Mus musculus: one gene and its partners. The protein of the gene in region 2 purifies or fractionates together with the protein of the main gene of each other region. This does not show direct contact. Links are inferred from orthologs where the notes say so. Each region holds a gene or a part of one and is shown on either strand. Other genes may lie near its edges. The genes, in order: Bin3, Dnmbp and Dnm2.

The links.
Region 1: the proteins of Dnmbp (region 2) and Bin3 purify together in Homo sapiens (co-immunoprecipitation; 5 studies listed by BioGRID and IntAct, counting the BioPlex papers as one, with this or other methods). This does not show direct contact. The link is inferred for Mus musculus from reciprocal best matches to the Homo sapiens genes DNMBP and BIN3.
Region 3: the proteins of Dnmbp (region 2) and Dnm2 purify together in Homo sapiens (co-immunoprecipitation; 3 studies listed by BioGRID and IntAct, with this or other methods). This does not show direct contact. The link is inferred for Mus musculus from reciprocal best matches to the Homo sapiens genes DNMBP and DNM2.

The regions. Positions count from the first base shown.
Region 1 is NC_000080.6:70,098,827-70,102,921, reverse strand, and holds the start of Bin3 (bridging integrator 3), read right to left. Parts: upstream 2,830-4,095; 5' UTR 2,734-2,829; coding exon 2,726-2,733; intron 1-2,725. UniProt on the Homo sapiens protein: Involved in cytokinesis and septation where it has a role in the localization of F-actin.
Region 2 is NC_000085.6:43,937,382-43,941,793, forward strand, and holds the start of Dnmbp (dynamin-binding protein), read right to left. Parts: upstream 2,818-4,412; 5' UTR 2,736-2,817; intron 1-2,735. UniProt on the Homo sapiens protein: Plays a critical role as a guanine nucleotide exchange factor (GEF) for CDC42 in several intracellular processes associated with the actin and microtubule cytoskeleton.
Region 3 is NC_000075.6:21,501,363-21,505,003, reverse strand, and holds part of Dnm2 (dynamin-2), read right to left. Parts: intron 1,463-3,641; coding exon 1,298-1,462; intron 575-1,297; coding exon 342-574; intron 1-341. UniProt on the Homo sapiens protein: Catalyzes the hydrolysis of GTP and utilizes this energy to mediate vesicle scission at plasma membrane during endocytosis and filament remodeling at many actin structures during organization of the actin cytoskeleton.

The DNA of each region.
Region 1 (4,095 bases), on a different chromosome or scaffold from region 2:
CCTTAATCCCTGGTGCTAGAATTAAAGGTGTGTACCACCATGCCCGGCAATTACCTTTAGTTGTAGTTCATTTTCACAACATACTGCACTGAATACACAGTTATGCAGAAACAGGTGGAGCAGGGGTGAGGACAAAGTGGGGAGCGTGTGATTTGGGGCCAAGAGGTGGACTAGTGCTCTGAGAGGCAAATATCCAATGCTTCCTTCCAAATCGGGCAGACCACTGAGTTGCCTTGCTGGAAGGCTAATGGGTAGGTGGGTGGTGGTAGTGCAGGTACTCACTAAATAAACAGGGGTTATGCAGGCTGCCTGCACAGTGAAAGAAACAAACAAAGACCTCTTACTCTTCCTGCAAAGTCCACAGTGTGCAAAGGGCATCAATATTGGACATTTCTCACTGTGACATTTTGAAAGGACAGCCTAGTCCAGAACAATGGATACCCTTTGGGCACCACGGACCACAGCAGCCTCAGGCCTTATTTAACTAGGCTTGGCCTAGTCCATGTACTTGGTGAACTTGACCTTGGGCATCAGCCTCCCATGATGGCTCTACGTCACTCTGGTCTCTTCCCCTAGTGAAAATTCCAATCTCAGATGAATGGATGGATTCATTCTGGGAGCAGAAAAACCACGCTGCGAGTGAGTCAGAAGGACCCAACTCTCGTTCCCCTGCCAGCCATTGAGCTAGGAACTGAGTGCGATTGTGTGCCCAGGCACGGGCGTTGGTCCCCTCTCTGGGAGAGAGGGTCAGGGTCCACGCAAGAGATGACGTAGAAGCCCTCGAAGCAGGAAGAGAAATGGATCTCTTCCTTCAGGGACAAAGCCATGCTTTTGGTTGTGACCCTCCGTCCAAAGAGGCACTAAGATGTGCTTGTACTGGCCAAGTAGTTCATGACAACCTCAGCCCTGTTAGTGGCTGCCAATTCCAAGTCTCTCCAACCTGATGGGCTTTGTTGGAAAATGGTTTGGAAAAAAAAATGCTAGTTTTCAAGAAAAGGAGGAGGAAGAGGAGGAGAAGGAAGAAGAGGAGGAGGAAGAGGAGGAGGAGCCCATTCAGAGAACCAACACCTCTAGTGGCCTCTGTTCCACTTATTCTATTTTTTTTTTTTAAAATAGAAATGTCAGTCTAAACGGAAAGCACCTATACTTTCTTTTTTATTTTTAAAAATTAGGCAAGAGAGATTCAAAGATTCAAGGTGCATAAACCAAGATGACTTCTAGCATCATGAAGCTGGAGGTACACAGACTGATGCTTAAAAGAAACGACTCTGCTTCAGGAGATTTCCCTTTAGCAAAGGGAACTGAGGAAGTGCCCCTTGACCTGTCACTAGCTAAGCTGTAACAAGATGGGGAAGTTAGCTTTTAGGGGTTCCAGCTTTCTGTGGGCCTCTTGGAGGAAGAGGTTGAGGGGAAATGAGTATCTCCTGCTGAGGCTTATTAGAGCTTCGCGGGTGTGTGTGTGTGTGTGTGTGTGTGTGTGTTCTGTTCCCTGCTTCTCCAGCTGTCTGACATTTGTCCACCAATTAACCTCAGTCTGAGAAGCAGGTGGAGGAAGGGGCAGAAGTGGTTTACACTGTACATTAGAAAGCTATCCTTGACATTGACTGACATTAGCTGCTTGTGGCGAAAGCTTGGTCTCCACTGGTGGTCAAGTGTGAAAGCCTTCTCAGAGGGTGTCTAGCTAATTTCATTCATTCATAGCTGATTATCATGCACTTATTTTGCATAACAGACTGGGCTCTGAGCAAGTCCAGCCCCCTACATTAATGCACCTTGGGATCTAAAGAGGGCTGATTAATCTCATACTTCCTTGGAGGCCAATTTATTCATACAAATGCATTGTAAACAGTTAGGAGTTTGAGTGGGGACCATGGACACACAGGCTCTTGGGCCTAATGGTAAAGACATTGACAGCCTTTAAAGAAGCCCTAGGAAGACAGAAAATTTATGACTTTTCATCTGCACGTAAAAACAAAAACAAAAACCCCAGAGCAACAATTAAGGACCAGCTTTTGGGGAAAGAGGACCTTCCACATTAGGCTAATCACAAACAGGAAGTATCCACCGTGAGCTCCCCCCACCCCCATCTGCAGCTGTGACATTCCAGCTCTATGGCTCCTTGGTTTGACGATCCCCATAAAGTTTAAGCTATGTCTATCTTAGAGAGAGGGCAGTGGGGTCACAGCCCTGGAAAGATTCAAACAGTCCAATCACACATTAAATGTGTGTGTGTGTGTGTGTGTGTGTGTGTGTGTGTGTGGTGCAATTCTGATCCTTCCCATGTGAGAATCAACTTTTACATTTTTAAAAAGAATTTCGTCTTTTGAGGCACTGTTAGGTGATGTTATTCCAGTTGTCTGAAAGCAGCTGGATTTTGGTCACAGAACTGTGCCTAGTCTGCCTCAATGAGCAACACAGCTCCGGAGCAGATAAGCGCGGTGTAGAGATGCCCACGGGAGCGAAGGAGGACACTGACTCCACCTCAATGGATAGCTGAGAGAAGAGGGAAGAGGGACTCCTCACGCCAAGGAGGTGAAAGGAAATGCGATGGGAGAAAGGGCAGGCAACAGGGATCAGACGCGGGTCCAAGGCTAAGGGATCCTCCTCGGGAGTCTGGCCGAGAGATGGAGCCTCCGGGAGAGCACCGAGGAGGCTCCCGGAACCGCTTAGGAGCAGGGCTGTCGGGCCGCCCTGGCTCCAGCCGACGCCACCCGGCCTCACTCACCAGCTCATGGTCCTAAACCCACGCCGACTGCCGGGGTCCTCGGTAGAAAAGTAGGTTCTCGAGGATCACTTCCGGATTCGGCCAGTCTCCAGGAAGTGATGAGGGACACGCCCCCTTATGCCCGGAAGAGGCGGGAGGGAGGCGGGCCCACGCGTTAACACTTTGTTCTCTTGTTGTTTGAGGCGGACTTTCTTTGCGGGACGTGGTTGCGCTCCGGCCCTGCTTTTAAGGCTCTGTGCGTAGAACCCATCACGGGCTGCAGTTTCTGTCTGATATGGGGTTTCTAACTCGGAGACACAAGCGGCGACAGGGGAAGGAGCTAGAGGAGACACAGTAGACGGGAAGCTTGCGCTTTGCTCTACACACTTTCGTATTGAAAATGTTGCATGTCTCACCTACATCACCTGGGTCCCCTCCCCCCTCTTCAAGAAGGTTCGGGGTTCGAATGGAAACAGAGTTAAGTGCTTTTCAGGGTGGACTAGTCTGTGAAGCTATTCAATGAGGGAAGATTCAGAAAGCCCGGTGTGATGACAGACAGGTATCTGCAATCCCCGAATTCTGGAGGTTGAGGCAGGGAGAGGTCATGAGTTCGAGGCTAATGTTGACAACATGGCCCATCTGGGCTTCACAATCAATCCAGTCTTAAGAGAAAACAATACACCAAAGCCTAGCAAACAAAACAACAACAACAGGAGTAGAAGGCCTCGGCAATGTTAGGAAAAATCCTAACAAGTTGCTGGACAGGCTGTTAGGGGCCCCTGGAGCTGTGCATGGGGTTTTAGAAGAATAAGATCTAAGCAAACAGCTTGCATTGGGCCTCAGAATTCAGAGCCCCAGTGTACCACAAACTACCTAGAGTTATACGCTGAACCGAGTTTCTCTGCCCAAGTTCCTGCTTTAGAAGCCAGAAACTCAAGCAGAGAGAACCGTTCCAATCCTCTCTCCTGACCTCTCTAGGACTTCGCTTTCTTCAAATGTACCTGGAGGGTTGTAGGCACAGCCAGGGGAGCAGCTAAGTCCCTATGACCTAGAGCAGAGGTATATACAACGTGTCCCAAATTCCCAGGGCCCAGGGGCTCAGAGGAGGAGGAACAAGGGATGGCTTTTAGTTTTAAAAAGGCTTTCCAATAGGAGGTGGCTCCCTCAAGACATGTCACAGACCATCACCATGCTATTTCTTCAGGAAATAAGTAAGCAGGAGCAAAGGAGTGGTCTTGAAGAGAATAGAAGACCCAGAATCCTTGACAAACAGCTGAGGCAGAGAGCATGGGTTGGGAGAGTCTTGCAGCTTTGTATGGGGTGAGATGAATGGAAACACTGTGTGATTGTGAGTCTCTTGGTGTTCCAGCACTTGTGGATGGCTCTGCCCC
Region 2 (4,412 bases):
TCTCTCTCTCTCTCTCTCTCTCTCTCTCTCTCTCTCTCTCTCTCTCTCTCTAAGACAAGATCTCACTATGTAACCTTGGCTGGCCTCAAACTCACAGAAATCCACCTGAGTTTAAAGAATTAAAGTCCTGAGTCACCACACACCGCACCAGGCAGTATGGCTTTCTTTTCTTTTCTTTTCTTTTCTTTTCTTTTCTTTTCTTTTCTTTTCTTTTCTTTCCTTTCCTTTCCTTTCCTTTCCTTTCCTTTCCTTTCCTTTCCTTTTCTTTCCTTTTCTTTTCTTTTCTTTTCTTTTTCTTTCTTTTTTTTTTTTTTTTTTTGGTTTTTCGAGACAGAGTTTCTCTGTAGCCCTGGCTGTCCTGGAACTCACTTTGTAGACCAGGCAGGCCTCAAACTCAGAAATCCGCAAGCGCCGGATTAAAGGCGTGCGCCACCACGCCCAGCTATGGCTTTCTTTTTAACACCAAGGATAAAGCAGCTAAGTTAGCACCCAGTATATAAAATAGTTCTTTCATGGGGGATGGGGGATTTGGGATGGGGGTGGTGTGGTTATCGCTGGGATCCTGCTCTCCAGGTGAGAAGCTATCTCATAATGAACTCCCAAAAGCAAGACTGAGTTATTTAGTCTTGAAAATTAGTTTATTGAGATGCTTTCACGGCTGGGTATAATAATAATAAAAAATTACACATTCACTGACATGGAACTTTTGAGGAGTGAATGAGTCTCAAGAGTGTTTTATTAACAACAACAACAGCAGCATTGCTTGAGAGCCTCATAGGATCCTGAAATAGTAGCAAAGTCACAGGCAATATGCTAACTGATTTGTGTTTTGTCCCATAGTCGGGGAAAAAAAAAACTGGAAAAATAAGCCAAGCTTTGTAACTGCTGGTAGGCAGCAAGCCTTTGCTTGTAAACGGTTTGAATCACTTTTAAAAGTGTGCCTTCCCACCCTGCCCAACTTAAGACTAAGCAATCTGTAGCTTAAAATACGACTCTGCATTTATTTTAGCCCTGTACAGAGCAAAGTGACCCAGAAGGCTGGGAACGGTGATGAACTTGAAGCGCTGGAAGGCAGCATGCTGAAAAAACGCTTCCTTCTAAGGCACAGGGAAAGAGCTCTGCTCTGGAAACACCGAGATAAACATTCAGAACAGAGTCTGCTCGACCCTGACCCTTCGGCAGGGGTAGAGCATCCTGTGGTACAGCAAGCTCAGTGGGGCAAGGCCCCGCCCTGCCACGTGGGTGAAGGAGGAATGTGAAGAGGGTCTCACAGGCTAAGGGGATGCTCGGAGCTCGGTGCCAGAAAAGAGGGGGTGAAGAGGTTAGGAGGCCCTACTTTGTGGGTTAAAGGACAAATAGTTCATACATATTTGAACAGCATCTATAAAGATTACTATCACGCGCCAGCCCAAACCATACACAATGTGATAAAAGTTAGCTTAAAAGTTAGCACAGTTTGAGTCAAAATGTTCTTGGCTTGTTGGAAAAACTACCTGTGACAACATGCAAGTCACTCCCATGCCAGACTTAGCACTTCCCCACTACACACCAAGATCTCTGTCTAGACAAGCCATTGGGTGACATTAACACAGAAACATGAATGACACACACACACACACAACAGGTTTCACTCATTTCAACCCAATATTATGTGAGTGGGGGAGCGGGGAGCGACAGTGAAGTTGAACATCTGCTACATAATTTGTAAAATTAACTTTGTTTTCCTAGGACTTTGTTGTCACCAGGAGGGATCGGCTTCAAATACAAATGAAAGACTTTAGCGGTGGAAGGGCCTGAGAGATCACGAGATTCAGTAGTTTAGGGGGAATGAGGCCCGATGGATACACTAACTTGAACACTACACCTCGACTATGCTTTTCCTACGACTGTTTTATAAATGCAGCCCTAACTGAGAAATCAGGTCTGCTTGCTGCAAAAATCGCCTGTTGATTAGTCAGCTCTATCAGCGGCATGTAACTCGACTAAGCACAGTGGAGTCCAAACTATGCTCCTACCAGAGAATCGGTGTCATCACTAGCTTGTCACCATTATTAATTAGGAAGTTCCACAAGGTGCTCCCAAGACTATAAAAGAAACACTGTCAGACAGGTTACAGAATTTGCCAGCCATAATCCCACATGCGACCTTGCTTTTCAAGTTGGTTTTTCAACACGACCCTGTGCCCTAAAAACACCCTTCGCAGCTCTTAATACACACCACATGCTGTCCTGTCCGGTCACCCCAACACCCCTTTATTCGAGTGACAACCATCCTCCTCTGACACAAGCATGCAATCGTCCTGGGTACCTAAAAACTCCAGTAAGCCAAAACTGCATCTCCAGCTAAATATAAATAGTCCCGGGTTATTTGGGAAACCATCGCTGCCTGGCTGTCACGAAATCCCGGCCTCTCATGCCCACCAGCTGCAGCAGTGACCAGGAGCAGGACTGGGGCTCAGTTCTTCAACTCAAAGCCAAGAGGCAGGGCGGCGCAGTGACAGCGCCCCGGCTGGACACCTCGCCCCCCGGTCCGCGCCCCGGGACGGTCCCTAGGGCTGCTGCCCCCCCCCCCCTGCACCCCCTCGGCCGTGAGTGAAGACAGCGAGGGCCTCGCGTCTCGCGGAGCGCAGCTCAGCGCGACCGAGAGCTGCGCCGCAAGCCCCGCGCGCCCCGCAGGCGACCGTCCCCGCTACCCCACCACCCCGCCACCCCACGGACGCCCGGCCCCGCACCGACCTGCTCTCTGCCGCTCGGCGTTCCCTCCGCGCACAGCCACTGGTGGCCCGGCCGGGCCGCGGTCACCTCCCCTCAGCGGCGGCGGGCGGGCGGGCCGATCCGGGTGACTCCGCGCCGCCCCGCCTCCCTTAGCGCCGCTTCCGTCCGGTGGCCCCCGGCTCCGTTTCCCGCGCTCGCGCCCCCTGGCGGCCGCCTAGCCCGTCGCTCCGCCACGTCAGGGCTCGGGCTCCCAGGGCCTTTCAGGGAAACTGAGGCACGGACTGCGTGGGGGCGTTTAGCGACACACCTCGCTCAGGCTAGGATCCAGATCCCCACGCACTCGCGCTACCGCCAACCTAGAGAACTCAAATTCTCCGCTGCGCGAATTCTCTTACTCCGAGGCGGAGGCTAGCCTTGAACCTTCCATCGTCCTTCACTCCTCCAAGTGCTGGATTACAGGGGAACACCATCAGGTTACTGCCCACTCCTCATCGATTTTTTTTTCTTTTCTCCCGAGCAAAGTCTCACAGGACAATTTTGAGAATTTAAAAGCAAGGAATCACAGAATACTAGAACCAAACGTCCCGGTTTCTGAAAAGTCCCGGAAGACTTCTGACTGTTAAAGATCGCAAGTGCGTGGAGGAGCTGGTGCAAGCGCGGGGACCGACCTAGCAGATTTGAGGAATGCAGGAATCATATATCACTATGCACACACAGCAGAGATAAGGCTTTATTTTAAAATCTCATCAGCTAGATTGTTTCTTGACTCTTCAAAAATCGTAGTAAACTAGACATAGCATAAAGTGTATCGTTTGAACCATTGTCAAGTGTGCGTGCAGTCCATCAGAGTAGGTAAATTCACATTGCTACGCATCCATCATCTTGTCCGGCACCGGGACCCCAACTTCCCAAACTGAAACTGCTCTTATCGTACAGGGACTCCACTCCCAGCGATTCCTAGTCTCTCGTGTCCTTAAGAATTCGTCTACTCTGAAGACCCTCATACATGCAATCTACAATACTTGGCCTTTTGGTGCCTGCCTTATTTTGGTTAGAATAATGCCCTAAGTTTCATCTGTGCTGTTCTATGTGTCGGAATTTCCTTCCTTTTTACTGCTAAATATACTGCGTTGTGTTTAGGCGTTTGTCCTTCACTGGGCATTCGGCGGAGTTTCCCCTTTGGCTACTGTGGCTAAGGCTAGGACCCAAATCGTACACGTATCTGCTGGACCCATTGCTTCCAGTTCTTTGGAGGCTGTACCTAGGGGTGAAACTGCTGCTCACATACATTATTCTCCTCCTTTGCTGTCTGAACACTGAAGGAAGGCATTTTTGTGGTAAAACATAAATATTCCAGATTTTTGTTTTTGAAAGAAATTGATCAAATGCTTCAGCGGCCTGTCAAACAGTAAGCTTTTCTCCCCCTTTCAAGTAAAATGACAATCTACTACCTAGATAATGGTATTATTATCTTTCTTTCTTACTTACTTTCTCTTTTGAGACAGAGTCTCCTCTCTCTTATGTGGCTTTGACTGTCCTAAACCTTGCTGTGTAGACCAGGCTGGTCTCAAACCCCCAGCGATCCATTTGCCTCTGCCTCCACCTCCAGGTGCTGGGGGAAAGGTGAGCACTGCCACACCCTGGCGCTAATGCTTGTTATTATTAACTAACCACAATTCTGTTTTCTGTGTGCATACT
Region 3 (3,641 bases), on a different chromosome or scaffold from region 2:
GTACCGTCTCTATGTTCTAAGAGGCCAACCTCGGGTAACTGTCTCCTGGGCTTCTTGCTTTTGCTTTCTACTTGGACCCACGGAGAAAGCACTAGAAGATGCAAGAGTTGGTGGAGAATTGGGGTGTGCGGTTTTCTCCTCCAGAGATCTAGCTCAGGTTGGCACCTGGAAGCCATGGCTCCCCTGTGGCTTTAAGCAGAACAGGTGTTGTGCCATTCACTTAAGACTCTTGTCCCTTTCCAAACTTCAGCTGTGAACTATTTCCTAATGGGACAGAAGGAATAGGAAGGGTGGGGCTTGAACTTGTATATGCACATTGGGGGACAAACTGCTGTCCAGACCTGTGGCCGCTGGTGTTTTGGAGCCACGTGTCATCGACCGGTGGGGGCACGGGTGTGGACACGGTGCTGGTGCTGATGTCCCCAATAATGTTGAGGGCCTCCTTCAGTGCGTGGTACATGCGCAGCATGTCGTCCCGCCGCTGAGCCTGCTCGGCTGACTCTTCCATGAGGCTGCTCTGGTCTGCTGATGAATACAGGTAAGCCAGCAGCTCATGGTGGATGAAGGCCTTTGTCTGAGGACAGTGGTGGGAAGGAAAGGTCAGACCCCTATATTAGCCAATAACTCAGAAGCCTGTTGAGATTGGGAAAGCATCCATCACAGACTGAGTGAGAGTCAAGTTTAGCTGTAAAGCTTCTGCCTAGAATCTCCCAGGGAAGGAGCTGAGGTGCTCAGTCATTCAGTGCTTGCCTAAGAATCACCATGCCTTGGGTTCAATCTCCAATACCACAAAAACCAACCAACCAAACCAACCAAGCAACCCACCAACACACCAAGCAACCCACCAACACACCAAGCAACCCACCAACACACCAAGCAGCCCACCAACACACCAAGCAGCCCACCAACACACCAACCAACCAACCTACACACCAACCACCCACCCACCCACCCACCCAACCAACCAACACACCAAAACCCCAAAAAGCTACTAAACAAACCAACTTGTTCTAACTTTGCACAGCTTTTTAAAATTAGGTTTGCTTTTAAGTTAACAGTATGTATTGACTGTGTGTGTGTGTGCACGTGCACGCGCGCCTTTACCTTCTGACCCCCCACCCCTCCCCCCGTCTTCCCCAGTTGTCATTGCTGAGACAAGGTCTCACAGTGAAAGCCCCCTACACCGGCTGAGTATCTGAGAGGATGGTGGACTTGTGACTCTCCTGCTTCCACCTGCTGGTGCTGGGCTGACTGGCATGCGGCTAGGATCTTTGGTGACTTGGAAGCTGTCACTCACGTTGTTGATCATGAGGTGCATGATGGTCTTTGGCATAAGGTCACGGATGGACTTGTTGATGATGGCCACGTAGGAGTCCACCAGGTTACGGATGGTCTCCACCTGTCGCTCCAGCTGCGGGTCCATGGAGAAGGTGTTCTCTTGTGCTCCATCCTCATTCTCTGCCTGCAGAGGACACAGAGGGGGATGGTTCACTGTGCTGGGCCTACCCTGCTGACAAATGCCCCACCTGAGTGTGTTCCAGATGGCCCTGGTAGACCTTGTAGTCTGCACTGGGGTAACACTGGTTAGAGCCGGGGGATGAGAACACAGCCTCCCTTTGGATGGCCAGGGTCTGTAGTGACTTCACCCCAAGGACAAGAGGGAAAAGACAACAAGGTGGATGAACCCTAAGTGCTCTTGCCGTCCTCACCATGGAGAACCCCTTCTGGAGAACTTCTGGACCCTGATGACAACCCATGCCTCCTCCGCTTCGCTTGACTCAGTGGGTACCAGCTTGGTGCCCTCTGAGGTCTGAAGTATGCTGCTATGGTTTGAATATGGGATGTCCCTAGGGCTCAGGTGTTGGTCCCTTGAGTCTCAGCTGACAGTACTGTACTTCTGATTTTTATGTGTACATTGGTATGGTATGTGTATATGCAGTGTGTGTGTGCAGGTGTCCAGAGGCCACAGACAGCTGTCAACTGTCATGTGGGTGGTGGGGACTGAACTTGGATCCTTTGAGGAGTAGCCATGGCTTCTGTCTGCAAAGCCGTCCTTTTAGAACCATACTACTGTTACTTGTGAAGCTCTGAAAACTTCAGGCTGGGGGAAGTAGGCCACTAGGTGTGTATCCCCAGGGATACCTTGGCCCCAGCCCTTTCATGCCTTCCCCTCTGCTTCTCGCTTCCGCACCTCAATACCACTGCCATGAGACAGCCTATACACATGGGACCATGCAGCCATGGACTGAGCCCTCTAACATTGGGAGCCAAACTGAACATTTCTTTCCCTTGGTGTGTAGCAGGTATTTATTCACTTGTGTTTCATGTATGTACCTTATGTGCATATCACCCTTACACATTGTGTGCATGTAGTCTATCCCAACTCAGTGCCTCAGAACTTTTATGTTTACTCTGTCTGTCTGTCTGTCTGTCTGTCTGTCTGTCTGTCTGTCTATGAATGAATGACAGGTTCTACATAGTCCTGGCTATCCTAGAGCTCACTATAGAGTCAAAGCTGGTCTTGAAATGGGATTAAAGGTGTGCATCAACATACCAGGACCTGTTATTACATTGTATCCCAGGCCTTGTAGCATTCAGGAGGCAGGAGCAGATAGATCTGAGTTTAAGGCCAGCCTGGTCTACAGACTAAACTATAGGCTAGTCAGAGACACACCCTAAAAACAAAACACAATACATTTTGAGACAGGGACTCTCACTGAATCTGGAGTTTGTAGGTTTTTCTAGGCTGTCTGGTAAGTGGGCGTTAGGGATCCATACTCCCCTTTTCACCCCAAGTGTGTCCACTTTGCCAGACTCTGCAACAACTATAGGCACATACGCTATCTGCTGTGTCTGGCTTGTTATTAGTGTTCTTTTAGATTGACTTTTGAGTCGGGGCCTCTCACTAGGACCTGGAGATCTCTGCTGTGCTATGGCTGGCTGGCTCCTGAGCCCCAGTGTGCACCACCACACATAGCTCCTGACTGAGTTCTAGGGCTAACATTCAGGCCTCATGCTATCACCTAAGCCATCTCCATAGCAAAGAAAAGCTGACTTGACACGCTTGGCCTAGAAATCACGGGTCCCTTCCTCCATGCAGGGTCAGCAGGGAAGGTGTCCCTTCACCTTTTCCTTCTCTGGGTAGACCCCAGCGCGCAGGAACCCCCTCACCTGGTCCTTCTCTGGGTAGACCCCAGCATACAGGAACACTTCACCTGGTCCTTCTCTGGGTAGACCCCAGCACACAGGAACCCCTCACCTGGTCCTTCTCTGGGTAGACCCCAGCACACAGGAACCCCCTCACCTGGTCCTTCTCTGGGTAGACCCCAGCACGCAGGAACCCCTCACCTTTTCCTTCTCTGGGTAGACCCCAGCACACAGGAACCCCTCACCTTTTCCTTCTCTGGGTAGACCCCAGCACACAGGAACCCCCTCACCTGGTCCTTCTCTGGGTAGACCCCAGCACACAGGAACCCCTCACCTTTTCCTTCTCTGGGTAGACCCCAGCACACAGGAACCCCTCACCTGGTCCTTCTCTGGGTAGACCCCAGCGCGCAGGAACCCCCTCACCTTTTCCTTCTCTGGGTAGACCCCAGCACGCAGGAACCCCCTCACCTGGTCCTTCTCTGGGTAGACCCCAG